4 linked regions of the Lonchura striata genome follow. The protein of the gene in region 1 purifies or fractionates together with the protein of each later gene. This does not show direct contact. Links are inferred from orthologs where the notes say so. Each region holds a gene or a part of one and is shown in the gene's direction. Other genes may lie near its edges.

Region 1 (7,666 bases):
GAAATGACATAAGAACTTGTCTTTTCACAACAGGGAACCAGGCTTGGGGAAGGAAGCGACCTTCAGACATCTCACTGCGCTTTGGTAACACAAGCTGTACTCAAAGACTCCACACTGGTGATGTTGCAAGTACCATACAGCATTTTTTTTTCTGGTTGGTAAATTGAATGGACGTGTCCTGAAGGCTGTGAGGGTTGTGCTGTACAGACTGGTTTGGCTGGGTTGGTGCTTTACTGTGGTTGATAGATTTTTATCAGATGCTTTTACTTGTTAAATTTTCCTTGGTTGTGGGAACAATCCAGCAAATAGTAAAAATGATGGAGCACCAGGAGACGTGCAGCCAAGGAGATCATTTGTTTGGCTGGATCCCTTCCTACACAAGGGAGGCTTTGTGTGAGCTCACAGAAGAGCCGTGTTCATCTTGCTGTGGGTAGAACTGGCAGCAGGCTTCAGGCTTTGTCTCCTTGCAGAGTCAGGCTGGCTTGGTTCTCCACGGAGCCGAAAACTCATTATTTCCAAGGTTACAGCCAGGCTGCTGGGAGGCTACAGCTCCTTGTGAGAAGTGCCTGTCTCCCAGCAGCATTGCCAAGGAGGCAGCCGTGCCTTTGGACAAAGGAAGAGGTTTGTGCTGGTCTCAGAAAGGAATTCCATGCTGCCTGTGAGAGCTGCCATGGGGGTCGTGCTTCTTTGGCAGTGCTGACCTCCTCGGAGAGCTGCAAAGCTGGGGGAACCCATGGCCTGTGGGTCAAAGACACGGGCTGGTCATGGTTCCACCAGCACCTGGTCTCCAAGGTGGACTGCTCTGGTAGAGGTACATATGCAAAACTGGAAACTGATCAAATGCATGTGTGGAGGATTGGCTGCAGTGGCAGGGGGTGTGATGGCAAAGGGACAGCCCTCCCCGGGGTCTCCTGGGGTGCACATCACTCCTGCTCCTGCAGCACCAGCTCCCAGAAGCTCCTGACTAGGCACTGCCTCTGGGCTCCTTGTCACCAGCTGGGCCAGGCAGGACTCAGTCCAACAGCTGGGTGCTGAAGGCTCCAGAGGGGTGCAGGCAAACACTGGCCCCCTGCTCCCATCTGAGGTACATCTGCACCACGATGGATGTTTCTCTGTCCGTGACACTACAATCTTCCTCTTACAGACTGCTTTGTCACAATCTGGATGTAAAACTGGGGGGAGCAGTAGCACCAGTCCTGAAGGCAGCTGTCCCTACAGGCATGCCTAGTTTTAGGAGCTTTGTGAGGGTGTGGAGAATCATTTGTAAGTATCCCTGTTTCTGGATCTAGACCATGGCACAGCAATGTGCTCTGACTTCTCTGTGCGAGATGCTCAGGGCCAATGGCAGTGGATGGCAGGTCTGTTTAAATGTGTGTGTCTCCTCCAAAAGCTGATGATGTGGCCAGTGATGCTTCACCACAGCTTTTTTTGGGATGAGGGATGCAAGTCAATCTAATCATATATACATGAGAAAAATCAATGCCCTGGCAAAGCCAGTCCTATTTCTGGCTAGAACATGTCAAAACTCATCTTCAAAATGCATCTTGAGTCATAACCACATCCAGTTCACAGGAGGAACCTCACTTCCTGGCCTTGTTGGGTGCAGGGATGAACATCCTTCATTGTGGGATCTTCACCACATACAGAACTTGACACCAGAAATTGAGTGGTTTGGAATGAAGAGGAGGGAACAGCATGCATAGGGCATACCCTGGAGTTCATCTTTGGATGCAAGGTGGGATGAAGATCCCATGAAAAAGCTGAACATGTGGACATGAATTAAAAGCTGTCTTCAAAGCAGTGCTTGTGTGTGTTGGCTAAGATTGCAAAGATAACTCTAACACCCTGTCTCCACACCAGGCCATGGCTGTGATGCCTCAGCCTGCCACAGGCCATGTTTCAGTAGGTTAAAAGGAGAGGCATCTGAGTGACCCAGCAGAGCCATGATGGGTGGTGGGCAAGAATGGCATCACTGGACAGCCAAGAGATTTTGCAGATGCAAAATGTGGAGTGCAGATTTTTGAAGTGTTTATAGCTCTGTCCAGCCACACACAGCTTTTCAAAGGTCAGCAGGAGACCTAGCATATCTCTGCCAGAAAATTTGTCCCTTGTCCAGAGATCTTGTCTTAATGGCTAAACAAATATTTTCCTTGACTTTTCCCAGGTGGGAAACACCTGGGCTGTTATGGCCAGATTTGAAAATAATAATAATAATAATAATAATAATAATAATAATAATAATAATAATAGTAGTAGTAGTAGTAATAGTAGTAGTAAAAACAGACCTCTAGCATTTCAGTGAAGGTAGGTAAAGCTTGGCAAACTTCCCATAACTGCAAACTGGGCTTTTTGCTGTGGGCAGTGCTGGGCAGCATTAGAAGGCAGCAGGCAGCCGTGGTGCCCAGAGCTGGGCAGCCCAGGCACCAGCTGGAGGAGCTGGCAGCAACTGGCCAGCTTTCCTGCCAGGAATCAGCCTGGCAAGCCAGTTCAATAGCCTGCCTGTGTCCCACTGGAAAACATCAAGGAAGATGTCACCAGTGATGAAATTGCTGACAACTCAGTGGACTCTACCAGGAAAATTATCCATCAGAAAAAAAAAAATTGCCATCTCTATGCTTGAGCATCTCTGCCCAAATAGTAGCACCATGTGGAAGAGAAATTCCCTTTTAGCACAGGATTTTGCTGTGGTCCCATGCAGAATTTGCTGTGAGAGATGAACATCTCAGCTGTTTAGCAGGGCAGCTCCAACCACCTCACTCTGCAAAAACAGCCACATGCACATCCTGGCGTCACAGCGCCGCTTCAGCTGGTGACTCAGGCATTGGCCTTTGCATATCTGCCATCAGCTCCAGTTTATGCAGGGCCTGACTGCTTTGCTTATGCATTTCTACATCTCCAGATCCTAGGAGATGATGTTTGTCTTCACTCCACAGTCGTGGTAGGAAGGGCCAGTCAGCTGGGCTCAGGATGGGGCAGCCTTCCCAAAGGACAGATGATCTTCCTCTTGCTTTGTTAAGACAGGTTTCGCAGGAGTGGGTGTCACATCTGCCTTTTCCCTCCAGGGCTGACTGCCCCAGAAGAGCAAGCATCATGAACATGTCCTCCTTGTTTTCCAAAGATCCTGTGAAAGTCCTGCCTGGTCTGCATTCAGTCAGGACTCAAAGTATGAAATTATAAAGTCCTCCTGGGTTTTTTCATCATTCAGTCTCAGGCACACAGAAAGCTCACTGGGTTTTTCAGTGTCTGGTTGAATCCACATGCTTATCTTTCCAGACCGGGCTGCACCCAGCCCACATGGGCTTGAGGAAGAGCTGGGGTTGGTAGCTCCCCTGGGACTCAAGGAGGTGAGGTGGATTGAAAATGTGGTGATTAGCAGCACAAACTCTAGCTGGAGGCCAGTCACTAGCACAGTATCTCAGGGGTCATAACCACATCCAGGTCTGTTGGGAAGGAGCTTTTCTGAAAAGGATCTGGTGATCTTAGCAGGCACCACACTGAACATAAACCACAGAGAAGACTAAGGGTGTCCTGGGTTGCCTTAGTCAAAACATTAACAGGAGGTGAAGAGAGGGGATGTGCTCAGCCGTGGTGGATCACCGCTAGTGCTTTGTGTCCAGTGCTGGTCCTCTCAGTGCCACGGAGATAGGGGCACAGTGGGGAGAGGCCAGTGAAGGTACACGGAGGTGAATGAGGGACTGAGAGAGGGGGCAAAGCAGAGGGAGCCAGGCTCTTCCCAATGGTGCCCAGTGCCAGGACCAGAGGCCACTGGCACACGCTGGAACACAGGAGGGTCCCTCTGAACTTGGGGAAACACTTTTTCATTGAGTAGGACCAAGCACTGGCACAGCTGGCCGTGCACGTTGTGAAGGCTCCATCCTTGGAGATGTCCAGCAGCTGTCTGCACACAAGCCAGGACCGCCAGCCCTGGGTGACCCTGCTGGAGCAGGGCTCGGACCAGATGACCTCCGGAGGAGCCGGCTGCGGCTCTGTGAGCTCCTCCAGAGGAACACGGAGCCTTTTGTTCACCCCAGCTTCCACCTTGGGGCTGGCGAGACGTGATGGGGCGACAGGAACAAGGAGAGAGTGCGACTGCAGGCGGCGATGGGGTGACAGTATACCAGGGCTGTGGCCAGGCTGAGGTGGGGTCGTGAGGGGGCAGAGGTGACGCTGTCCGCAGCGGTGTGAGGGAGTGCCGGGGGTGTCAGGGTGTGGCGGGCGTGCGCCAGGCTGCGATGGAGCAGGCAGGGGAGGCTGGGGACGGCTCGGCTGCAGAGGGTTGCCGGGCTGGGCGGCGACACGGGACGGGTGGCAGCAGACCGGGAGGCTCCGCGGCGGGACCCGGCGCCTGAGGGGCGGGCGCGGGGCGGGCGCGGCCGCGGGGCCGGACCTCCGCGCCGCCGGGGGGCGCCGCGCGGCGCTGGGCGGGCGCGGCGGCGGCGCCGCCGTTTCCGGGTTGGCTGCGCGGCGCTCGGGGCGGCCCCGCCTGCAGCCGCCGGCACCGGGCCCGGGCCTCGGCAGCTCCGCGGGCCCCGCGCCCGCCGCCCCCGGGCCGGCCCCGCCCCGCCGCGGCCCCGCTCCGGCCTGGCCCTGCCGCCCGCCGCCGCCGCCCTCCTGCGCGCCGCGCCCCGCCTCGCCGGCCTCCCGCGCCGGCCCCGCGCCCTCCTCCTCCTCCTGCTGCAGCCGCCGCCCGGCGCCGCCATGCCCGGCCCGGCCGCCGGCAGCCGGGCGCGGGTGTACGCGGAGGTGAACAGCCTGAGGAGCCGCGAGTACTGGGACTACGAGTCGCACGTCCCGAGCTGGGGGTAAAGCGCCGTGCGGGGACCCGCCCTCCCTCCTCCCGCGGGAGGGCCCCGGCCCCTGGGGAGGATGTCCCGGTCCCCCGCTCCCGTGCTGGGGTGTCCCGGGGGGCTGCGGCGGGGAGAGGCTGGGAGAGGACCCCGCTCCCCGGCCTGCTGCCGTGTTAGTTGTCCGCTCTTCCCCCAGCACCGCCTCTCTCCTCTTGGTGCCCGCAGCAACCAGGACGACTACCAGCTGGTTCGAAAGCTCGGCCGAGGGAAGTACAGCGAGGTCTTTGAGGCCATCAACATCACCAACAACGAGAGGGTCGTCGTGAAGATCCTCAAGGTGAGTATCCCGTTGATGATGTAGAGGCTTGTGGTGGCTGGGAGCAAGACAGAGAGAAGCTGGGTTGGCAGGGCCAAAGAACTGTTGGATCTCTTTCTTCACTCCAAAACTCCTGTTTTCTCGTTAAGATCATTGGGATGGTGTGTTTGGAAATGGAATTGGTGTCTTGAGTACTGTAGTGATGTTCTGATGTCTCCACCCCTCCTTGTCCAGCATAGCTCAGGGCTGAGAGTTCCTCTGGTGGGGGAGAGCCGAGTCCTGACATTTGAACAGCGTTGCGTGTTCTGTCTGTGTTTGGCAAATCGTATCTGGCAATGCCTGTCTGAAACAGCCCAGGGACAGCCATTTCAACAGGAATGTGAAGCCTGGAGGGGGGAATCCTTCTGTTAATCTCTAGACAGCCGGCATGTGGCCTTTCCAGAGCCAGGCTGTGGGATGCTCAGCAGTTTAAAAAGAACCAATATTTTATATTCAGTCCTTTAGAGGATCTGATGTGGAAAAGAGCTTCATCACAGTCATACTACAAACACTATGGAAACTTGAGGGGGCTCAAGGAAACCTACCAAACTTTGGCAGTGCTGGTGATCTGTTTGCTGGTGTGTTGAACCTGGTGGGGTTGAGCTGTGGGGACCTTTGTGCAGCACTGGGAGGTTGTAGTTTGGGATGGCTGTGCACAGGTTATACACTGCGGGGCATGTCTCACCATGTTTGACACTGAAGCAACAGCTCACAGCAAGCTGTGCTGATTGTCCTAGCAGCACTCTGTGTTGGTGATCTCGGGGCAGGCAGGGGAGTTAAGACAGAGATGAAAGGTTAGAGTTGCAGTATGTTTGATTCTGGCTTGGCTGACACTTGTGGCTGTCACTTGTTGCACCAGCAACACTTATCACTTGTTCCCCAAGAGCACGTGGGAGCCAGTGTCTGACCATGGGTGTCCTAAGAATTTGGGCACACATTCATCCACAGCATGCAGGGGGTTCTGAGCTTAATGTGCCCGTGCACCACTGAGAAGAGCAGCTTTCCGGGACATGCATATCTGCAGGGCTGTAGCCTTAAGGCACTCACTAGATCCACTCAGATGGCATGTCTGGCTGTCTCTGCTGACATTCCCACTCTCTCAGTGTGCCTGCTTCCTCGGGATCTGCCTTAGCTTCCCAAAGAACTTGTCATGGTTTGTCCAGCCAGCACTTCTGGGAAAGGTATCATCTTCCATCTGCCTCTGGGAGGAGGCACGCAAACCCCAGCTTTGGCTGTGGGCAAGGAGGTGGCCAGGTGAGCTGTCCTCTGTGGCTGAGCCTGATGTGAGAGTGGTGAGGTTCATGTGTCCTTGCCAAGCCAGGTTCCTTTGGCGTGCTCCCCCTCCTTTGGATTCTTCTGTGGTTTGGGGTTTTGTCTTTTTTAAAGCAGATGCAGGCAGGAGTTTTTGCTGTCAGACAGTAGTCACAAGTGGCAAGTGCAGAGCTGGATTTTACAGCAAGATGCCTGGTGGCTGGCCTGGGGAAACTGTGCACTTGTGCATGCTCCTCTGGAGCCCTTGGTGGCCTCTTTGGGACTGCTGTAGTTTATTGAAATCCTAGCTTGGGCACCACATAGAAAGGCACCGCAAGACTGAAAGGAGGCTGCAAGAAAAGTCATCAGAAACCCTGCTCCTTGCCTGTTCCCAGCCCAAAGAGCCTCCCCTGGGGCAATGCTGCTCTCCTTGTGGCAGCTGAACTCTGTCACAGCTAGGGAGCCTGTCAGCCTTGGACAGGGAGTCAGCTGGCAAGAGTCATCTGAGGGCAGCTGGGTGCTCCTTCTCCTTGGGGCCTGAATGTGTTGCCTTAATGCCCTGCAAGCAGGAGACTGGATTGTCCCAGATATGAAGTGGATGGTGTTGCCACTGGTTCCCCTGGCTCTCTCCACTGGCATTAAAATGCAGACAGCATTCCTGTGAGTGAGCAAGGAAAAGCAGAAGGTCCAGATAAATAAAGATGAACTTTCTCCTCCGTGGAAAGTGGGTCAGTGAAAAGGGAGTTTCAGAGCACCACGTTGTGTACATTATGAAAACCTGTGAAGTGTGGCAATAACATCACCCTGATCTGTGGAAAGTGCCTCTGGTTTCCTGTAACTAGACTCAAAACTTAATTGCAAACATAATTGCATGTATCTACAGGGGAATCTTAGCAAAGGGACTGGATGTCTCTGCTCCTCCTAACTGGGGAAAAATTTGGATTCTGTGAGATGAGAAATGCAGGTTTTTGTGTGATGCAGGGATGAGCTAAAGGGAAGTACCATGGTTGGGCAATGGATGCAGCTGTTTAGCACAGTCCTTTCTCTTTAACATTTTTGAGAGTACAATTTATGTTAGGTGTTAGGGTGAGTTTCACCAAGAGTCACTGTTTTGATATCTCAACTTCATGGAAAGTCACTGGTGTGTCTTCCTAGCCTTTGCTCTTTGAAGCAGCTTGTCCTTACTGAGCCCAAGCTAGCACATAGCAAGTAATTCCCCTGCTTTGGCATTGTAGTACCTGAACATCTTGTACCATCCTCCACAGAGGTCAGG
Region 2 (6,956 bases), on another chromosome or scaffold:
TCATTGCACACTTCCTCAAGCTGCAGAGAAAACAAAACACAAGAGGACTGTAAACATGGGAAACTGTCTATCAAATCTAAGGTGGATTGAAACCAAGACTTACATAAAACTGCATTCTTTCATCTCCCTGTTGGAAATGATATAACTTTTTAATAATTTTAGTTAGTGATTTTAATTAACTTTTAAATTAATAGCTCTAGTAAATCATAATCTATATATACAATTATAAACAGTGTGTGATTCTTAAATTATTCTTAGCCAGTATTTAGCAAAGCTGTCATAATGTACTTTTGTAGGAACATAGCTTGGGGAAACTACTGGAACTTTAACTTTTGATAAACTAACTCTGACATGCTTCAATGAACAAAACCTGAGAAAGATGTATGGTTGAGGTTGGACATCTAGAATGTAGAATTTATGGACCACAAGGACTGTGCAGAAACCAGAAGATAAATAAGGGACTAACAAAGACTTTCCAACTCAGTGTATGTGTTGGAAAGTCCCTACCAGAGGAGAAAGATACTAAAAAGACTAAAAATATAGACCAGCTAGCATGAGAAGCAAGAAATCAATACCCCACAGAGGACACCGTACTAATTAATAGAAGAGAATTATGCAATTTACAACCAATGAACATTCATTTATTTGTTTGCTAAAAAATATAAATAAGTGAAGAAGTTTTATATCTGAGTCTGAGTGGAGGTCAGAATTTTGTGAGCCACAAAAATCCCTCCTGGCCAGCAACAACGTAACATCTTACGCACTAACACTATAAAGAAAATGTTAGAGGGGTTTATTTACCCCAACAATTTAGAAGGATTTAGTAACAATTTACTGGTGACCCAGGTGAGACAACGCATTTGATGTTCCACAGACTTACAGGAACAAGGACTTTGGTGCACACTGAAAGACTTTTTTCAGGGAAAATGTTCAATCCTCTGATCCAGGCAAGTTCAAGGCAAAAAATCCTGGGAGTTTATTAAGACATTACTGAAGGTTTAAAAAGGTATACCTAATCATAAGCTTGCACTCTCTAACATAATAAGAGTTAAGAAAGTTATGATATATAATTGGCTATTTTCTATTAAAGTTAGTGTAAAACTCTGTAAGTGAATATTAATGGAATTGTGTTTGAGTCCCACTGTCTAGTTGGAAAACTCTAATTGTAAAACTATATAAGTGACAGTCAAAAGGTGTTGAGTCTTCACCCTCTGCTTTGCCCATAAATTAGTCAGACAGTGCTGCTTGCATGAAGAGCCACGTTGTGGAAGGGCTTTGCCCAGATATGTCTGCTTATTGAAGCCTATGGTATCTGTTAGTGTTGGAAAATGTGTGTGTTAACGTGTGTCATAAGCATAAATTGAGTCTGTATGAAAACTCATTGGCTGTAAGAGTGTTTAAGCCATTGTATGTTGACTGTGAATTTTAGTGTACTTGGTGTGTACTAAGTGTTTGGTTTTGGGTAATGTAAATTGTTAAAGCGAGGGTCCTTTGCTCAGAGCCCTCTCCTGGCGTTAGAACAGCGGCTGCTCCTCCTAGCTGACTGGGGTTATGTTGGTGTGCACAGAGCGCTCTCTCGTGTCGTGTTTTTGTCATTGCTGGAATTTCTATTTACTGTGGGCTTTCCTTTTTCTTCTCGAGCCCGGGAAGAGGGGTATACGCAAATGTTTGCCTTTAGGTTGCATTTTGCAGCACTGGAAAGAATTTAAAAGCAATTCTTTAACTGGTAATAGCATAATGTATTCTCTGGTGGCTAGAGTATCTATTAGATAATCAAGGAAAATGGTCAGTTCATGGTATTTGACACCAAAATGGTATTTTAGAGTTGATATTATATTGCCAAAAGAAAGAGAAATGGAACAACATAGTACCTCAAGCAGTGATGAGAGAAGCAGGAAAAGATAAACACAGAGAAACACACTGGGGAGCAGAAGCTATGAGAGACAACTTGAAACATCAAGCAATTAGTGTAAAAATACCAGGAATTAAAAGTGTAGTCAGTAAGTGTATATGTTTGCAACACAATCCACAGCCCTACAAAAGACCTCCTTTAGGGATTATAAAAAGAGAAAACTGTCCTGGAGTTTATAGGCAAACAGATTTTTCTGAATTACCTCGACAAGAAGGATATTGATACATATTGGTTTTAGCTGACACATTTTTTGGATAGCTACTTGCACCAACAAAGCAAGAGAAGTTACCAAGATATTGTTAAAAGAGATAATACCCCGATTTAGAATTTCATTCGGAATTAATGATCTATGATATCTTATAACAAAATACAAGCAAATTTTTTGCATCTTGATGTCTTAAGTTTTGCTAGATATTCAACAATTTAAGTGCAAGTAATCATAAAGGAAAATTAAGATCACTTCCAAAGGGGGAAATTTTTGGAAATGTCAGAACTTTTTAGTAATTTTAGCTAATGTTTTTAATTACCTTTTAATTAGATTGTTTAGTCATAATCAATAAATATTAATTCATTATAAATTGTGTGTTATTCTTTTATTACTCTTAGCCAGCATCTAGCAAAGTTGTCATTAAGTTCATTTTGTAGGAGCACAGATTGCAAAATTTACTAAGACTTTAAGTTTTGATAAACTAACTCTGATATGCTTCAATTAACAAAGCCTGAGAGACAAAGATGTAGTGTTGAGGTTGGACATCTGGAAAGCAGAATTTATGGATCACAAGGGAATTTTGCAGAAACTAGGAGAGTCCAGCTCTGGCCCTGGTTCTAATCTACTGGGTCACACTGCCTCATCATACAGTGTATGGCTTAGGTAATCATAACTTTTTCACCTAAATCAAAACATTATTCTCTTGCTGCTAACAACTGGGCAAAAGAACATACCAAAACAGCTGGGACAGTACAGCGTTGATTTAGGCCCAGGCAGATGGAAAACTAACACTATGAACCAGGTGCAATGAAAAAGTGAAAACAATAACCAGCCACACTCTGCTTGGAGAACAAACCTGGATTTTAAAAAAGCCTTTTCTACATCTGAAGCATCTAAAGCACCCTGACCACAAACTATCTGCATCCACTTCCTCCTCTCCTGGAGTAAGAGCCTTTGAGATAATGCCCTTCCAAGAAGAGGTCCCAAGTGGGACTGACAGAAGCCTTACCTGTGTCCAAATCGTTGCTATTGGCAGCTTCACGCAGCCTTTTCAGAGCTATGGAGGAAAGAAAGCAATTACTGGAAAGTACAGAGGGAAAAGGCACGTTTCCCTACAGACACGTTCCACCCCGGTGTTCGAGCACACGCGGGGGGCCAAATCAGGCTGCTACCGGCTCCAGAGAATGGGAAGCAGATCAGGACAGCAGGATATAGAATGGTTCTCCTGTCTCCTGCCGAAGCGGGCTGCGGGCCCGCCCGCTCCCGACGGGCGCCTTCCCCCGGCAGGGACGGGCACGGAACAGAGCCGCCCGCCCTCCCTTCCCTCCCTGCCTGCCGCGGCCCGAGCGGGGCGGGCCGCAGAGCGGCTGTTCGGCCGCGGGACAGCGGCTCCCCGCCGCCGCTCACCGTGCGCCTCCTTGCCCGTCGGGCCCAGCCGCCGGTGGAGGCGGGCGGCCCTGCGCAGGCGGCGGGCCGGGATCTTGCCCGCGGGCTCCTCCCGCTGCCACAGGACGTGCAGGTAACCGAGGGGTGCGTCCGCTCCGAGCGGCGGCAGCGCGATGCGCGGCTGCGGCTGTGCCTCCGAGTCCGGCCCCGGCTCCGAGTCCGGCCCCGCGGCGGGCGCCCCGCCAGCCCCGCCGCCCTCCATCCCGTCACGGCCGGGCCGGCAGGGGCGGGACGCCACCGGCGGCACAGCCCGCGGTGCAGCCAATGGGCAGGGAGCGGGCGGGGAGGCGCGGCGGGCAGGGGCCAGAGAGCCTGACGGGCAGCTGCCTTCCCCAGTCAGACAGAGAGGGGCGGCCGGCCCGCCCGGGTGAAGACAGGCACTTGCTGTGGCCAGTAGAAGGGCTCCGCTCGGCCCTTCGCCCCGCCCCCGCGCCAGGCCCGCGTTTCCGCCCGCAGCGCTGTCCGCGCCGCGCCGCCGCCATGGCCTACCCGGGGGAGGACTACGACACCGAGGTGCGGGCCGCGGGCCTGGGGGGCGCGGGGCTCGGGGCCGGGTTCGCGGGGACTCACTGCCGCCCTCTCCCCACAGGCTGCCTACGACCCCTACGCCTACTCCAACGACTATGACATGCACACGGGTGAGTGTGAGCGCCCCGCGCCTGCCTGCGCCCCGGCCGGGCCGTGCGGCGCTGCCTCACTGCTCCTCCTTCTCCGCAGGAGACCCCAAGCAAGACCTGGCCTACGAGCGCCAGTACGAACAGCAGACCTACCAGGTGATCCCCGAAGTGATCAAAAACTTCATTCAGTATTTTCACAAGACGGTGTCAGATCTCATTGACCAGAAGGTGTATGAGCTCCAGGCCAGCCGCGTTTCCAGTGATGTTATTGACCAGAAGGTGTACGAGATCCAGGACATTTATGAGAACAGGTACTTCCAACAGATGGAAATCACTGTTTTAACTTGTGATGCTGTTAAAAGGGAAGGCTGCTACCTGTGCTGTTCCGAACTTGGGCTTTCTCTGAAACGGGTTTTGTTTGGTAACTGTGAAAAAAAATTCGTTGGTATTACCAGCCCATTAGGCCAATGTGAGTATAGACGAGTTGTGATTTGTCTGAAGGGAAGTGTCAGCCCTGGCCTAACAGGGAGGGAGGCTGCAAAGAGGGCTCTCAGTGGTGTTAGTCTGGCAGTTTGCAAAAACCTGAGGTACAGCTTTTGTGTCTCTTCCAAACGGTTGCTTCCACTCCTGCTTGTAGCTGGGGCAGCTTGACTTAAAGGGAGTGTGGAAGTGACGTACATGTCTGTTTCATGCCTGGGAGATAAATTGCAATCTTACTGCTCAGCTTGTGATTCTCATGGTATGCTTCAACATTGGATTTACTAGCAGGGGTTGGTGGTGCTGCTCAGCTTTCATCAAGTCCAAGGCCTCTCTCTGTTGTCATCTCTGACTCCAGCACTGTCATACTGAGTGAAACGTGGATTTTCATACCTCATGTGTGTCTGTTTTTCAGCTGGACAAAACTGACAGAAAGGTTTTTTAAGAACACTCCATGGCCAGAGGCTGAGGCCATTGCTCCTCAGGTTGGAAATGGTGAGTCTTTCCACTTTCTGTTGGGTTGTCAGAGAGAGAAGGAACTGAATTTCTCCTGACCCTGAGTTATCAGGTGCACAGCGTTGTTGCTGCCTGAGTCGGTCGCCTTTGTTCACTCTGGCAGCTCTTTCAGCAGATGCCTGGCAAGAAGTCAGACTTGAGTGAAGCGTCTTTTTGTGCTTCCTTTCGTTGTTCTGGCAGAAGGCTTCTAGGCCTTGTGGCTTGCTAATGTCCTCTTATGTTGTCTTTTCCAGATGCAGTTTTCCTGATCCTATACAAGGAGCTGTACTACAGGCACATCTACGCCAAAGTCAGCGTGAGTGTTGGCCCTGTGTCTTCTTGTGGGCTGCTTGCTGGCTTCTCTGTGCCAGCAAACTTGACAAGTCTTGCTGCCCTACAGTATCAGTGGTCCCCTAACCTTTGCAAGGCAGGATTGGATGGGTTCATGAGCTGTAAGTCACACTGATTTTAGGGAAGATTAAAATTTTTGCTTTTGGTAGTTTAGTAAGGATTCACTGACTGCTGAAAAGCAAGAAAGACTTGATTGTCTGTTTGAGGCTCATTAGCTGTCTCTTCAGGCTTGGTGGTGATGAGTGTGCTGGTTTCTGTGGTAGCTCAGATGAATCAGGAGACTGGATCTGAGTGTTCAGGAGGCTCTTTGTTTCTAACAGCAAATGTAATGGTTAGTGAGTTAGGGAATAAGGGGGTGTTGGAAGGTAACTGAATTTTCCTTTTTTTTTGCTTATGTGTGTTTCTTTGTTTTTCCTCTTCAAATGAGCAGGCAGTGAGAAGGGGTGTCACAAGAGGAAGGTGCATTATTTGTCATAAAAATCCTCATATGGGATCAGAGTGCCTTATGAAAAGGGAAACATGGATACCATGAAGGATGGAGAAGAAGGAAATGAAAAGAATAGTGCTCTGTGAAACGAAACAAACTTTGTCTTTTTTAAGCCTATTTCTAAGTCTCTTTAATCAATGAGAAAGTCATAGTACTTGGTTCTTAAAGGAAAAAGTCTCAACAGATGCATGACTTTTGGGTAAATAAGTAATAACTGCAGTTTTATTGTAGACCAGAGGGTGGAGAAATGGACACTTTTAAAAGCCTGCTGTGTGCCCAAGCCAAACTTCAGCAGGAGAAACTGGTTTCTCAAGCTGTGCCATTAGTGGTTTTCAGACTCAGTGTCTCCAGCTGAAACAAGAACCAGTAGGTCAAGTGTCTAGGAATTATGTCCAGAAACAGAATTGTTCATCTATTAAGGCTTCTCATGAGCAGAGAAGGAAGGAAAGCTGGTGAAGGAATAGTGAAGTTCTTGAATCTGAACAGCAGAGGGGAGCAGGGAAGGTTAATGCAGAATATTCACAGGATGTTTGACTGCTTGATATCCTGGGAGAATCTGCCTATACAGGAAAAGCCATCCCTATTTTGTGGGACAGCAGTGCTACAATTACAGGTTTTCTGGGCGATGCTGGTGGGTGTCCTGGTTGAATACTGGCTCTAGCACTCCTGAACCAGACCCTCTACTGTTGTGACTGTCCTTATGCTGTTGCCCATGAACTCCCTCCTGCCCTGCTTGATTTGAAGCAGACTCTGCTGACTTCTCTTTGCAGGGGGGGCCCACGCTGGAGCAGAGATTTGAGTCTTATTACAATTACTGCAATCTCTTCAACTACATTCTCAGTGAGTTGCTGCAATTAATTTCTGGTTTGTGAGTTTTGGAGAGAAAGATCAGATGGAGAGGACAGAGCTGGACAAAGGGTCAGAAGAACAGCAACATGTTTCTTTATAAGTAATAGAGGGAAA
Region 3 (7,938 bases), on another chromosome or scaffold:
CACCCTGTGGCCATGGTTAAGGCTGAGAAAGAGAAACCTATGGGGAAGGCTAGACAGTTGGAAGAGGCTAGAAAAGAGCTCTCAAAGTGAAAGGTGGGCTGCAAAGAGAAATTGGCTTCAAGAACTTCTTGTTCTGGGCAGTGGCTGAGGGTCATGTCTGAAGCTCAGCCTCTGAGATTAAAGTCAGGGTTAGGCTTGGGAGGGGGAGTCATTGAGCTTCTGCTGCAGTGGGACTGTGAAAGAATGGATAACTGGAAGAAGGAGAATTTTGTTCCCATAAGTTTTCTGTTTGACCTAGCCCAAGGTAAATTGTAGCCCAGGATTCAGCCTTAGGCTGGGTTTATTGATATGACTGGGTTGACCTTGGCTGGATATCAGTGCCCATCAAGTTACGCTATTACTCCCCTCCTGAACTGGACAGGGGGAGCCTCCTACCCAGGTTCAGCTTCACTGCCAATTTTATCTATCTTTTCCCCCAGTGGAGGAATGGGTGCCTGTGATCAGGTCATTACACACTGTCTTTACTGCTCCATTCTCCTTCTTCCTCCCTTGCTCCAGTGTGAGGTCCCTCCTACAGGAGACAGTTCTCCATGAACTTCTCCAACATGAGTCCTTCCCAAAGGCTGTAGTTCACAAACTGCTCTAGCATGGGCCATTTCCACAGGATGCAAGCCCTTCAGGAGCCGACTGCTCCAGCGTGGGTTGGCATCTTCTCACAGAGGCCACCCCTATAGCTCCCTGCACAACCAAAACCTTGCCTTGCAAATCCAGCAGAGGCTAGGGTTAAAATTAGGGTTAAAAGAAAGAGAGCCCAGAGTTGCACTGAGAGTTGAGTTAGAAAGGAGGTGGGCTGCAAAGAGAACTTGGCTGGGAGACTGTTTTGGCTTGGGAATTAAAAGAGGGGGTGACAGCATTTAATTATGTTTACATCAGGATTAGAGTTAAGGATGGGAGAAAGAGCCTAGAATTCCAGCAGAAGGAGAGTTAGAGAAGGGCTTTTAAGGGGAAGTCTAAGTTAAAGGAACTTGGCAGGGCTGCCTGGTCTGAGGCCCAGCCTACTCTTAAGGTTATTTTTGACAAGAGAGTGTAGTACCGCAGCCTTAAAACACCTGGGATGCAAGAAGAACTTTGTTGCAAGAACTTTTTGATATGACTGGTGCTCTGCAGTCCTGGTCTGAAGTCCATCATACAGCTTGTGTGAGGGTTAGGGCTGGTGCTAGGAGCCAAAGAGACCCTAGAGCTGCAGATGAAGGGAAGCTTGAGAGCAGCTGATAGTGAAAAGGTTGGGCCACAGGGATAACTTGCCTGCCAAAACTTGGTGGTGGAAGCAATGGCTGAGGGGCCTGGTCCAAGGCTCAACATAACTTCTAGGTGTAGGGTGAGGTTTGAGGTTATGTTTGACAGAAGGAAAGAGACAACAGCTGCAGCTGGCTCAGGGCTAGAAAGTGACTGTCCCAGGGAAGTGTAGGCTGCCAGAAGAACTTGGCAGCAAGAACTTCCTGGTGTGGGCACTAGCACCATATCCAAAGCCCAGCATATGGTTTGTTTGAGGCTTAACGTTAGAGCTATGAGACACAGAGGACCTGGAGTTGCAGCTGGAATGGAGGTACAAAGCAGATCTTAAAAACAAAAAAGGTGTGGTGTTGGAAAGGATGGATAAATATAATTATTCATAAATAATACAGCCAGGATGAGAACAGTCCTCCCAGCTAGCCGGACAATGCCCCTGCCTACGGATGGGTCCAGGGGTCAAGTGGACTGTTCCATCTCAGCCCCTAAAATGTATGGTTCACCTCGCATCTGTAATCCTCCCCTAAAACATCAAGTGCCTGTAACCCCATTGGCCCGAGCCTTGTTCCAGCCCACCTTGAAGCCCCCTAATAAGGGGTCTCCGAGGGGCCAGACCCTCTCTTGGAACTTCCCCTCCTCTTGGAACTTCCCCTCTCCTACAGCATCCTTTTGTCTCTCCCCTCCCCCATCCTCTCAAGCCTCGCCACGTGCTGGTCTGGCAGCTCGAGGCAGGACCTTTCTGCATCCCCAATAAACCTTGTAACCCAAGAGCAGCCTTCAGAGATGTCTCATCCTCATTCACCTAAACCGTCCTGGAGCTCAGCGCTCTCTACAGTGTGGGGTAGAGCAAATGTGGCAGAGAGAATATTTTATTGAGGGCACTGGTTGGGGGACCTGGTCTAAAGATCTGTGTTAGTGTTAAGGTGGGCATTTGGACAGAGAGAGCCTAGAGCTGCAGATGGAGGGAGCTTAAAAAGGGAACATGTCAAAGGAAAGAGTAGAACATGAGAAGAACGTGGCTGTGACAATCTTTTGGTGCGGGCAATGGCTGGGGACCCTGCATTGTGACTCAGCATAAAATGACATTTTCCCTCAGGTCATTGCTAGAACTGGGGGAGAGAGAGCCCTGGAGCTCCAGCAGATGGTGAGTTAAAAGAGGTTTGAAAGGGAGGTCTAGGCTGCAAGAAATGGACTGTGAAATTTTTTACTGTGGGCATTGGCAGGAGGGCCTCAGCCTCTGTTCTGTTTTAAGGGACAGGATTACAACTGAGGGAAAGACATCCCAAGAGAAGAGTAGACTGCAAATGTAATCAAGTTTTGTCTCTTCAAGTGACTTCTGAGTTCAGCTGCATCTGTCTCATGGATTCAGTGGAAAACCTGTGCCCACAGTGGTTCCTACAGGAAAGGCAAGTACAGGCAACCATCTTTGTTTGTGGCACTTAAAACTGAAGAGGATAAATCTTTGCCTCAGACTTTGTAATGTAAATAGCCCAGGCCCTTGAATTTTTAAAATTTTGCTGTAATTGTTATTGTCAACATCCTCTGTTCTTCTGATAAAACCACCTTCTTTAGTGAGAACTCATATTTGCAGAGAAGAGCTCCTTAGAATCTATGCCAATATGACAAGAAAGTCTTCTGGAAAAAAGAGCAACTTCCTTCTTCAACCTTCCCTATAAAAAATCTACTAAAATTTTAATTATTTATAAACCAAAATGCTTAACTATAGGGATTTGCTCTGGAAAGATGAAGAAAGACACATGTGTGGCAGATGTTAGTCATGTTGATGTGCGTAGCATTGCACAGTGCTCAGATGTCGTGTTCTAAGTGTAATGTAAGGGATAAAATGGGTACTGAACTCTTCCAAAAGTCTGACTTCAAATCTATATTTAGGCATCTAAGTGACCTGCTTTTATTCAAAGGTGCTGACGACTCAGTTGCTTCCATTGACTGCAGCAGAACATAAGGGATTTTTTTGTTGTTGAATCCATTTTCAAGAACAAAAATTACAGTTGAGTATCTCTGTAACTCCTAAGTAACTCTGCTGGGGGAAAAAAAAAAAAAAAACAAAACAAAAAATGAGCAGAAAATTAAATACATCTCTGTTTTATCATACTCTCCATAATATGAAGACAAGGGACCATATAATAAATCCCAGTAACTGCTTCAATGCAGGAGGGAGATTAAACATTACTGCTTTAGATTCCAGCATGATAGATAACTTTGCTGTTGAGATCACAATGGCAAAAGAGAAATGGGGACGTGCAACACATTTTTAAATTTATGTAAGCTTGTGTTGGGGTCCCAGACTCAGGTATTGATCTTAGTTGCCCTGAACAGCCACACTGGGAACACATTCTGCCCAGGACCTCCACTTAAGCTCAGGGAGGGCACAGTTTAGGTCTCTGCCTGAGCTATGTTGTAGGTATACCTGTCTCCAGCTCTGTGTTTTGGTTATACCTTGGGCCTCTCTCGTAGGCAGCTTGCCTGCACCTCTGTTTCTGGCCCTGGATAGAACCTGTGCCTACGTTGTGCCTTCCTGGATGGACATGGTTCATCACCTCAGCTTCTCTGGGACTGCTGATGTGATGTATGCTCTTGCCAGCACCCTGCCCACCAAGTGTGGGCCCTGTGCATCCATGCCTTGTCACTGAGAGCACTGGTTGCAGTGGGATGACCCTCACTTGTGGTTTGTCCACCTCATGGAGCTGCCCTGCTCTTGCTTCTCCCTAAGGATCTGGTCACCTTGCTGAAGCATCAGATGATGAACAAAGCAAGATCTACAGCAGGCAGGTCAGTTTGTGTTATTCAGAAGCTGATGTATGACTTACTGTAAAGGCTCAGGAGATGTATGCTCTGTGTTACCCGTGGGTACTGGCCCCGAGCAGTGACAACAGATGTCATTGAGTTCCTCATCATACAGTGGAGCAAAACTTACGCGGTGTTCGATATTTCTGAGCTGGGCAGATGTGCCTTTACAGGATGTCACCTGTCACTGACCACATCCTCTGTGGCCATGGAGACGATCAAGAAACATTCTGCTGGGGGTGTAACAGCACAGCGAGGTCACAGCGGTGCAATAGTCTTGCAGGGGACCGAGCTTTCTGTATTTGCGGCACGTCGGCTGCAGGAACCGCTCTGCTCAGGGAGCCGAGCTGGGGCGGGAGCAGCAGGCACAGCCCTGCCGCAGAGATCCCTCTCATTCCTACAGATCGCTGGCAGAGGGAACTGGAATCACACAAGCTGTACGAAGTTACGGCGTGAGCCACCAGCTCGCTAAAGAGCAGGGCGATGGGAGGCTCGGTTCCTCAGAGGACTGGCGACGGCGTGAGGGCCAGAGGCCAGCGGCCGACAGCCCCTTTCCCGCGGGGCGGGGCGGGGCCCGCGCCCAGCTCCGCAGGCCCCGCTCCCTGAGGGGAGGGCGGCGCGGCGGCCCCCCCGCCTCGCTGCCCGCGGCCGCGCAGGCGCCGCGCGCGGGGAGCATGCGCAGCGGGGCGGCAGAGCCGGCGCTCCGCGGTTCCCGCGGGGGCGGGGCGGGCGCGCGGTGCGTGGCGGGCGGGCGGCGGCCGCTCCCCGCGGGGGGGGCGGGGCGGGGCCGCCGCGCCGAGCGGGGCCATTTCAGCCGCCAGGCCGGGATGCGCCCGGCGTCCCGCGGCTGCCCGCCCGCCGCCCGCTCGCCCGCGGGGCTGCGGCGCTGATCGCTCCTGCCCGCCCGCCGCTCTACCCCACGCCAGCCCCTTCCACCTCCGCCGCCGGCAGCGCCATGGCGGCCCCCAGCAGCATCGTGCCCGTCATGGCGAGTAAAACCAAGACCAAGAAAAAGCACTTCGTGGCGCAAAAAGTGAAGTTGTTCCGGGCTAGCGATCCGCTGCTCAGCGTCCTCATGTGGGGGGTCAACCACTCGGTAAGCGCCGCCGTTCGACCCACACGAGCCCGCCCGCCGCGCTGGGGCATCGCACCCGGGGGCTGCGGGGGCGCGGGCGGGACTGGGGCAGGCACGTGCCGCCGGGAGCCCCCGCCGGCTGCCGCCCCTCGCCCGGCGGGGCCGGGAGCGCCTTACCCCGGGAGCGTGGGGTGTGCGGCGCGGAGCGGCTGCAGCGCCCTGCCCGGGCGCGGACGATGCGCGGGGGCCGTGCGGGGCGCCTGCGGTAGCCCGTGTCCGCCCTTTGGCCCCGCGGTTCCGCTCGGCGGCAGCGGGCGGGAGGTGCCCGGGAGGGGACGGTGCTGCGAGCGGAGCCCGAGTAGCTCCGCTCCTGCCGCCGGCACCGCGCGGGCGTCGCATGGATGTGCTGCAGTTGGGAAAAATCCCGGTTATCAGTGGGAACTGGCCAAGTTCGTCCCGCGTCCGTGCTGTTCGCTTCGGCAAGTGTCCGCTGCCAGTGTGCGCGGGGGAGGGGAGGAGGAAGGGCTTGGTGTGGTAAGGCGGCAGAACTGCACCATTTGCGAAGTGCTCCATCACCCTGCGGGGACGGGCGGCCCGGGCTCCGGGAGAGCTCCCGGCCGGGCGCTGGTCTGCGTTAAAATTAGGAGTCTGGTAAAGGTGTCACATGGTTTGGGCATTACGGGGTTCAGGTCGCAGCTTTGCATCTTTAAATAGCCGCCATGGCAGGTTAAAAGTGTAGAGCCCAAAGATCGTCAGAAATCGGGTATCAGGGCAGTTGAGCAAAGAGCGTGTTCCCTTCTGCTGGCGGAGCGCAGCCTGTACGCCTGTGTCGGGTTTGCATGGGTTACGTCTGCTGCTGAGTAACGAGCCTGTAAGAATGTCAGTGTGCAATTTGAGATCAGACTACAAATTTTGAAACGGTCTCATGAAACCGACAGAGCAGCCTGTAGTATTTGCTCACTATTCCTTTTGTTTCCTACACATCCATAGCCCATGAATTTTTTACCTCTGTGGATGTTTCAGTAGTTTTTGCCCAAAGTCTGTGCATCAAGCCTGGGCTCTGTTAGACTGTGTTAAACAGCACAGTGCCTGAAGTAAGGATCATGGGGAAATGCTTTGGCTGTATGTACCAGACAGAGGAGAAGCTTCAGTGAAGTTGAACAGTCTGTTTAAGGTAGCACTGTGGGTCGGTAGGTAATGGTGACAAAGGATTTCAAGTTTTCAGTAGGTCAGTTGTGAGCAGTGACATCTATGTCATGAACTGATAAGACAGTAGTTATTTATCTACAAAGCAGAAATATCTTTAATTGTGGAAGTGCATGATATTCTGATTTGCCTGATTTGGGCTTAAATACCCACATTTCTTTTGCTCCTTTTGTAGTAGCCAGTGTTATAGAAAATTCTCAAACAGGCCTCTTTAATGAAAGAAAGCAAGCGAGTAATTACAGGGTGAGAGAGTTGTACTGAATGGCAGCGTGTGCTAGCTGTTCACTGTCTTCCTGAGGAGAGGGGGAGAAGATCACTGATGAAAGCAGAGATCTTCCTGTTGCAACAGCTCGTTGCTATGTGAGTTCACAGTGGAAATACCACTACTTTTAGAGGAAAGACCTCTTCACTACAGTAATAACCAAGTATATAGTGACAAATGCAACACCATATGTGATTCTCACCATCCTGCAGTCATGTGCTGTAGTGTGCTTAGCTGTTCTCAATAGAAAATGTAATAAAGTATGTTGGTTCATGCACAGAAGATGCGAAATTGTGAACTGAAGTCCTCTCTTTGGAGAGGTTCAAAAAAAAAAAACAACACCAGCAACACAACAGGCTCAGAGAAAAGAGGCTTTGCATTCACATGAAGGTGATGGTTGTAGGTGTGAATATCTGTTGTGTTCTGCAGATGGCATTCCATTTCCTTAGCCCACTGCAAAATGTAGTCATGAGTAATGCTTGGAGGCCCTGTGGAAGTGAAATCCCACTGAATGAGAGAGCATGGAAAAAAAAATTTAATTTGATGTGTCCAAATTAAACATCTCTTCCTGGCCAAGAATGCATCATTGAAGTGTTGCAGGCTTCTCTGTTAGATGCTTTTCCTGTCATTTTGTAATGCTTCATGTGGCAATGTCCACCAAATGAAAATAAGTGTGCAAGCATGGTTTAACTCTGTTATCACAAATAAGAGTTTCTCATGGGAGAAATACAAACTATGTGTATTAATTAAGAACAGGAGTTAGGAATCCTTAGGTTTCTTAGCAGAATAAACAGAAATCCATAAGCAAAAGCTAGACTAAGAACAGAGCATAGATTATAGTTCATGATGGGAGTCATTAAACTTAGAACACAGTAATTATCTGGAAAATTATATTTAAGACTGTCTGTAGTGCCTGTCAGTTAATGAGAGAATAGAAATATGAGTCTTACTAACTGTTTCTTGGGGAATAATATATATATATATATTGAAACAGTGAAGCTGAGATGCAGTTCCTATGTTTCTGACATTGCTGCATGTTTTGGAAGGAAACACTTGGTGAAGATAAAGGAAAAAGATTATTTTTCTGCAGGTGTATTCATTTTTTTAGTCTTAGGACTATACTTGATTGTTGAATATGGGAGGATTTTCAGAGTTTGAAATTGAATGTGAAAAAATTAAGAAAAAAACCTCAACAAACTGTTGTTTTAACTCTCCTGTCCTAGAAGGAAACATGACTCTAAAGGGAAAACCTAAACATTGGTGTCACAAAGCTGAGGGCTGACAGCAGAGGTGTGAGTTC
Region 4 (7,303 bases), on another chromosome or scaffold:
AGATGAAAAGCATGTCTTTATATCCTACTTTGATTCATTGTCTATCTCTGATGTTTCTTTGTACTTTACAATTTTGTTGAATCTTGCACATACTTACCCTGAATCATGGCACAAAAGGGGATTTCTAAAGTATAGTGAATCTGCTTATATTGATTTCATATTGATTACACATTTCACATTTGCACGTATTTGTATTTACAGGGACAACTCTTTAAGCTTCTTAAAGGGTCAGGCATGACAAACATGATGATGGATATAATAGCCTGCTAGTCCTGAAACATTTAGATGGGGTATAAAAAAGGAAATGAATGTAGGATGCAGGATCCCCTTAGGAAACACTGTGCAAACTTAGTGTTCTTATCAGTCAATAAATAACTTGCACAGCTGTGCAGTGAACACCTGAAGATTCTCAGCTTATGTTATTGATCACATCACAACTTAACTGCATACTACCCAAACAGGTTTCAAGTTCTTATCTTTTAAGATGTATTAATTAGTACAATTATTAGTTCATATTTAGATTCCTGCTTTCAGCAGTGATTAAGCAACCCTTAGATTCAAAAGCCACACACTGCTCCTAATAGCAATAAAGATGTACTTGGCATTTGCACAGTTTCCTCAGAATTTCATAGGCCAGGCATTTTGACATTTCTAGGAAACCTTGTCACATGACTGTTAAAAAACCCTGAAGTGTGGACACACACACGCATATATAGATTTAACTGACTCATACAAGGACACAAAGCAACAGTACCCACATTATTAAAAAAGTAGCATCCCATCATTTGTTGTTGTGGTATTTTACTCTATGGATAAAATTCCAGATGAGAGGTACTTAGTGTCTACTTTGATGCAGGGCGCTTTGTCTGCAATCCACAGATGGCCTTTTCTGTAGTTTTGCCCACAGCAGACTTGCCAGTTTCTGGGCTGATGGCAGGACATTGCAGTGACAGGTCACTTTGGAAACAAATAAAGGCAGCCCTGGGGGACTTTGTAAAGGGAAGCCTACATTTCTGCTCCCAAAAGCTGCTCATAGGTTGTTTTATACTTTATACTGAGAGCCAATAAGCATTGCTTGCCAATACAAGTTGCTCTGAACTAACTGAAAAGAGCTGTTTTTATTAATTAACAGCAGCTGGTGACCATGTTTAAAACTGCACTCTCTGGTGCATTTCAGCATAAAATACAAGCTTGTAATGTATGCTGAAACACGAAGCTGCCCCTTTTTACAGTCCCCTCAAACCAGTTTTCACTGTTTAATGCTACTGAGCTATGATGTCTAAGAAATGTACCCTTTGATATCTAAAAGTGAGCCCAGGTACCTCCAGAAGAACTGTGTTTCATAGAACTGGCACCTGCAGACGGAGATAGCTGTCAAAACTCAGTGTGTCCTTAACATTAGGATAGGACTCTAACAGTAGAGAAGCACGCTCTCTGTGATGGAATAAGGGGAGCAGGCTATAGGAAGCAGCTCTTAGGAACCACTTAAAATTACTTATCCCCTTCCAATTGTCCTTCTTCCAGGACCAAGGCTTTTAGGTTGCATTTAGAACCTTTCATTACAATGTCTAAACACCTTAGATAATGTTAATATGTTATACCAATATCATTATCCCACCCAGGTCCTTCAAATCTCACCTGAAATAATATAATTAAGTGAACTTCCTCAGACTGGGAGAAGACAGCAATATAGAAGTGTGGATACAGAATATCATCCCAAAGCAGTATATTGAGAATCAGCATTCTTACTCATAGTCAAAATGAGAAGACAAACCAGTTTCAAAGTATTTTTTTGAATTTAGAAATTTGCCTTTAAAACATGTCTGATTTTTTTTTTTTTTTCAAATTGGTCACCTCCTTCTCCAAATTATAGCTTTACATATTTTTTCTGAAGTCTGCTTAACCTATATTGTCTCAGTCTTATCTGGGAGATGCAACAACCAATTATTAAACTGTTGACAACATACTGAAACTACTCCATACAGCTGTAAATCAAAAAGATACTATGAAGGGCAGAGGTTTCAAAAAACACAATCAATAGAAGTTATCATAGCTATTGAAATTCTGCCAGAGGAACCTGTGACAAAATGAAATTTACCTACACCGAGTATATAAATTCCTAAATTACTGGATTTGGTTTATGTTTAAAGGTCTGTCAGCTACTAAAGTGGTATGACTTCACTAAAAGGATCAATGAAACCATTATCTTCTATTTCTCCTCAAGATGAAGGTGCATCTAATGTGGCATGTATAGAATATCAACATATATAATTCAGTTAGGCAAATCATTTCCATTGGGTAAATACATCCCTTTTTACAAAAGGCGATCTAATTTATCATCACAACCCGAAGCACAGCCTTTGGATGTCTTCTGTCACAATTCTGAATTAATCCAAACCTATTCATCTTAAAGGAAGTAGTTTGTTGTCTTCAAACATCTGTCTCGTGCCATTTGTGTAGCCCATGGCCCAATGATATTTTTGTCTCCTTATTAACAATAAGCTTGTCTAATTATATATTGTTGGTAAATAATTTACATTTTTCCTTATAAAATGACCACCGTCTGTGTTTGCACAGGCTTTAAAAAAAAAAAAAGGTTTAAAATAAGAAATCTGCATCTCTCTTGCCTAAATTGGATGGTGATTAATACACCCTCCCCAGATTATCCTTTTGTACACAGCATATAAATTGTAGTATTTCCTAATATCTGTATCCTACAGATTGCCTAGAGCAGCTGTGGATGCCTCATCCCTGGCAGTGTTCAAGGCCAGGCAGGACGGGGTTCTCAGCAACCCGGGCTAGTGGAAGGTGTCTCTGCCCACAGCAGGGGGATTGGCACCTGATGACCTTTAAGGTCCCTTCCAACCCAATCTGTTCTTTGATTATAAATATTTTGTAATATTTGTGTAACATATATTTCCTGGGTTTATTACCAATTTTATGATACTATGTTTTACATCCATCTAAGATGAACAATTCACAGAAGTGTGACGCTCTTTTCATTTCCTCTCTTTTACCCTCCCTTTACCTCCCAAAGTAAGAGCCATATACCTACAGCTACTCACAGTACCTAAGAAAGTGCTCTTGGGATAACACGGCTTTTAGACAAGTCACCTGCACTGGCTAGTTCGGACTGCTTCCCTGCAACAAACCGTCTGCGTACTCCCAACTCCTGTTGACGGCAACGTGAAGACCAGCCTGGCCACCAAGATTAACTTAGGAATTGAACTCGGGCCACAGAGCGGGGAGTGGCCCTCGTTTCTTTCGGGGACCGCCTGAGACCCTACATTTTGCAAGAGCAAAGAGGCGACCTCTCTCCTCAGCCCTTGCCGCCCGCTGGCCGCAACGCCCGGGAGCGGCCGTTGCAGCGGCGCGGGCCCGGCCGTGCCGCCGCCGCGGGGCCGCGGGCAGGGACCCCCCGCACGGGACCGCGGGCAGGGACCCCCCGCACGGGACCGCGGCAGGGACCCCCCGCACGGGACCGCTGCAGGGATCCCCCGCACGGGACCGCGGCAGGGACCCCCCGCACGGGACCGCGGGCAGGGACCCCCCGCACGGGACCGCTGCAGGGATCCCCCGCACGGGACCGCGGCAGGGACCCCCCGCACGGGACCGCGGCAGGGAACGGGCGCTTCGCTCCAGCCCCGCGGGGAGGAGCCGCGCTGGAGCAATACAGAGGAAGTGGGAAGGATGCCACGCTCCTGTGAATGGTTCATCGCAGGCGCGTGTGAAGCGTAGTTACGTAGAACTAGTAGTAAAAGTAGGATATATGTGTAAGACGAACACTACTAAATACTTAAGAACCCAGAACGGATTGGGTTGAAAGGGACCTTAGAGATCATCTAGTCCCAGCCTACCTGCTGCGGATAGGGACATCTTCCACTAGCCCAGGTTGCTGAGAGCCCCATCCAACCTGGTCTTAAACGCTTCCAGGGATGGGGCATCCACAGCTTCTCCGGGCAACCTGTGCCAGAGGTACTGGGAAACACTACAGTGTACAAAACGAAAGTCTGGGGAGCATATATTAATCGCTGCCCAATTTAGGCAGGATAAGTGGTGCGGATTCCTTATTTTAAAGCTTTTTTTTTTTTTTTCTCTAAGCCACCTCAATTAAAGACAGCGCCAGTGTTAAAAGGGAAAACGCAACGTCGCGCCGCTCACACCCGCGGCCCGCTCCCTCAGCGGCCTGGCGTCATTGCGGGCGGGCGGGCGTGACGCGCACCCTCCCCCGCCCTCCCCGCGCCGGCGGGGCCGCGGGCGCTGATTGGCTGCCGCCTTCCCGCTTCCTCCTCGCCGCCCGAGAACCCGCCATTTTGAAAACCTTGTTGATTCCGGGAGGGAGGGAAGAGGGAGAAGGAGAGGGAAAGGGCAAGAGCGGCCGCTGGCTGTAGGGCTGCGCCGCGGCGGGGCGCGTGTGTGTGGCTGCGCCCGGACCCGCCTCGTCCAGCAGTAATTGCCGCCTTCAGCTGCTGCCGCCGCCACGCCTGAGGAGGGAGCCGGGGCTCGTGCTGAGGTGGGTCCTGCCGCCATGGCCGTAACGGCGCCCGAGAGCGGTCCCGCCTCGCCGCGCCCGGGCCGAGCGGGGACGGACTGTGACGGGCAGAAATGAAACGCGGCCGCCGTGCCGCCGAGCTCCCGTCCCGCCCCCGGGGACGCGCCGTGTGCGGGGCGCTTGTCACCGGGGCTGCGTCCCTCCCGGCCCGTGCCCGAGGCGGTTCCCGGGTGCGGCCGTGTCCTGCGGCGGGAGCCGAGGGAGGGCTGCGAGCGGTCCTGGCCCGGCTGCAGCGGGGAGCCGATGGCGCCTTGGCCGCCGGCGCCACCGGGCGCTGCGCATCGCCCTCCGATTGCCCCAGCATCCAGCTTACAAATCGGGAAGGGGGCATAGGTGGAAAGTCCCCGCGTGAAAAGCCCCAGCCGAGGGCGGGAGACCCTCTCCCGGTAAGGGTGGATCCCAGAACCCTTTTTCCCTAAGCAAAATGTCGTCCCGAGCCCAGGTGGTGGAAAGCTAAGAAGTCTCTAACTTTATTTTCCCCCCCTCTGTTCACACTGAAAGGGTAAAGAAAGACAACTTGTAGTGCTTCTCTTGCTTTTACTCGTGCCTTCAAAAAGTCAGTAATTGCCGTGAAAATGCTAGATTACTTACTACAAATGAAAATGTTGGTAGTAATACCCTGGAGGGTGTATTTTTCACTGGTGATTTAGCCAGGAAACTTTACTTTTCCCCGTATTATTTGTAATAAATATTACCTCATGCTTTCTGTCATTTGGAACACGACTGATCTCTGGCACCTACTAATGCTGCACATAAGCAGCAGATTTAAGTGTTACTTATAGTACCTGATTACTTGCAGATAATATTTGTTTTAATATTGCAAAAAGAAAATTGTTAATTGTGTGAAATTCTGTTCCAGATTTAAAAGGTGAAAATTTTTGAAAGCTAGAATTTAAAAATGAAACATATGGTTATCTTACTCTATTGGATAGGTGTTTTCTGTTAGTAGAAAATGGTACGTGTATAACTAAGATATTTTAGTTTAAAGCTTACATATAGGCCACTTCAGATATTAAGAAAAGACTCTTATACATGCTAAGTATGAAGCATTTATTCTTTTTTGTTGTAGATTTGCAAATTAAAACGGGAAGTATTTTCATGCCTAAAGATGCAGCAGCTGTCTAGGTTATGAAAGCTGTGTTAATTCTTTCCTGAATTGCTTGCAGCTTTTTAAAAAATGTTTCTTTTCCCATTTCCAGTCTAAATAAGTAATTTGTTTAAGTTACTAGGAAACTTGTATGCATAGTTAACCATGATCAAGTATTAAGTTTATAGCAGGGTGCAGTAAAACAGTGATATCTTAAAACACTGCAGTTTTTAATAGATAACGGTTTCGGCTGCTTTGAGTGGGTGTTCCCGAATGCTTCACAAAAGCAGCTTGGAGACTTGTGTGTGAATAGAATTTATAACCTCTTAGAGTGTTCTTAACCAGACTAATTGCAGGATGGATGGCAACTTCTTCTGAAAAGTTGTATGTATTGTGTGTATGCCAAACACCTTAGTGATCAGAGAATGTGAACAATCACAGTACCAGCACGCTGCTTCTGCTGCACAAAGAGATAATTTTTGAAAGCAAGATTCCCGTGGTTTTTATGGATGTTGTTCTACTGATGATAGTTTCCCCTGACTCTTTCTACAGGAGCATACACCATGTCTTCTGTTGATTCATCAAAAGAAGATACAATGTCATCAGAAAAAACAGATGAGAAACAACCTGAAACTGAAAACAAAGCTGAGGAAAGTGATGAAGATGAAGAAGAGGAAGAGGAGGAAGAAGAAAAGGGTACTTTTCTCATTGACTAAGTTGTTCTTTAATGGATGCCAAGCTACTGAATGCAGTCTCTTGTGATTTTGGCTAATTGTACAATTATTGAGGGGATTTCATCATGCATCTGTCTCATGGGTCATAATAGCTTCCCAGTAGCCTATAACAGGCAATGCTAAAAACAGTGGTGTTGATTAATCTCAGAAAATATTTAAGGAATTGCCAGCATCCTGGACTTGTGTACTAGGGATTTTTTTTGTTGATGTATAAATTTTTCAAGGATTATAGGAGGTAGTGTCCCTTATCAAATTAGTTTTTGCTAGTAACACTCTGAAGTGATCTGTGTTTGCAAAAGGAAATCTTAAGTGTGCAGTAGTTTTGGAAGCAATATGAATGTCTTGTCTTAACTACAGTGAATTAATTTTCTGGCTATCCAAATGTAATTGTATTGAGTTAGCGGAAATTCCTTTAGACTAATTTTGGTAATAAAAAATTGTGGCAATGTGATAGGGTGAGCAAGCAAGGCAAGTTTCTTGTCGTGGCATGTAATTGAAGGTAGTAAAGGAGAACAAAACAAGATGAAGGAACTACTAAGCAAAAATGTTAATTTCTATTGAGATGTCTCCTGGCATGTGTTTTCAAAAGCAAAGCATTCATGGAAATAGAGTTGTAATGTGACATAGTGAAAACCAAGTCACTGATGCTCTTGGATCTTTAGGAAAGGTAGTAGAAAGAAGATGGATTATGCCGTTTGGAAAACAGCAGAGTGATTAGCATTGGATTTTCAGGGAAAAAATTATTTTTGCTCTGGTTTTGATAGTGTTCATACAATTCACTAAAGCCAGGACAGCCCATCTGTTTAGCTCTAAGGATAGTGTTACTTGAGGTCAAGTATTTTAGTATGAAATATTTAGGTGAAGCTTTAGTTTTTTCTTTAGAATGGTATCATTAAATGAGTGATGTGCAGGGTGTATGTAAAACAATCT

The links.
Region 2: the proteins of CSNK2A2 (region 1) and EIF3L purify together in Homo sapiens (affinity purification with mass spectrometry; 3 studies listed by BioGRID and IntAct, with this or other methods). This does not show direct contact. The link is inferred for Lonchura striata from reciprocal best matches to the Homo sapiens genes CSNK2A2 and EIF3L.
Region 3: the proteins of CSNK2A2 (region 1) and PIP4K2A purify together in Homo sapiens (affinity purification with mass spectrometry; 3 studies listed by BioGRID and IntAct, with this or other methods). This does not show direct contact. The link is inferred for Lonchura striata from reciprocal best matches to the Homo sapiens genes CSNK2A2 and PIP4K2A.
Region 4: the proteins of CSNK2A2 (region 1) and DEK purify together in Homo sapiens (affinity purification with mass spectrometry; 4 studies listed by BioGRID and IntAct, with this or other methods). This does not show direct contact. The link is inferred for Lonchura striata from reciprocal best matches to the Homo sapiens genes CSNK2A2 and DEK.

What each region holds. Positions count from the first base shown.
Region 1 is NC_134615.1:17,523,609-17,531,274, reverse strand, and holds the start of CSNK2A2 (casein kinase II subunit alpha'), read left to right. Parts: upstream 1-4,659; 5' UTR 4,660-4,698; coding exon 4,699-4,802; intron 4,803-5,012; coding exon 5,013-5,124; intron 5,125-7,666.
Region 2 is NC_134607.1:23,541,824-23,548,779, forward strand, and holds the start of EIF3L (eukaryotic translation initiation factor 3 subunit L), read left to right. Parts: upstream 1-3,949; 5' UTR 3,950-4,046; coding exon 4,047-4,079; intron 4,080-4,155; coding exon 4,156-4,204; intron 4,205-4,283; coding exon 4,284-4,494; intron 4,495-5,075; coding exon 5,076-5,155; intron 5,156-5,409; coding exon 5,410-5,471; intron 5,472-6,763; coding exon 6,764-6,833; intron 6,834-6,956. Other genes in the region: ANKRD54 (ankyrin repeat domain-containing protein 54), read right to left, coding at 3,130-3,177, 3,528-3,768. UniProt on the Homo sapiens protein: Component of the eukaryotic translation initiation factor 3 (eIF-3) complex, which is required for several steps in the initiation of protein synthesis.
Region 3 is NC_134603.1:138,985,335-138,993,272, reverse strand, and holds the start of PIP4K2A (phosphatidylinositol 5-phosphate 4-kinase type-2 alpha), read left to right. Parts: upstream 1-4,933; 5' UTR 4,934-5,050; coding exon 5,051-5,191; intron 5,192-7,938. UniProt on the Homo sapiens protein: Catalyzes the phosphorylation of phosphatidylinositol 5-phosphate (PtdIns5P) on the fourth hydroxyl of the myo-inositol ring, to form phosphatidylinositol 4,5-bisphosphate (PtdIns(4,5)P2). Has both ATP- and GTP-dependent kinase activities.
Region 4 is NC_134603.1:88,781,494-88,788,796, forward strand, and holds the start of DEK (protein DEK), read left to right. Parts: upstream 1-4,284; 5' UTR 4,285-4,513; intron 4,514-6,191; 5' UTR 6,192-6,202; coding exon 6,203-6,335; intron 6,336-7,303. UniProt on the Homo sapiens protein: Involved in chromatin organization.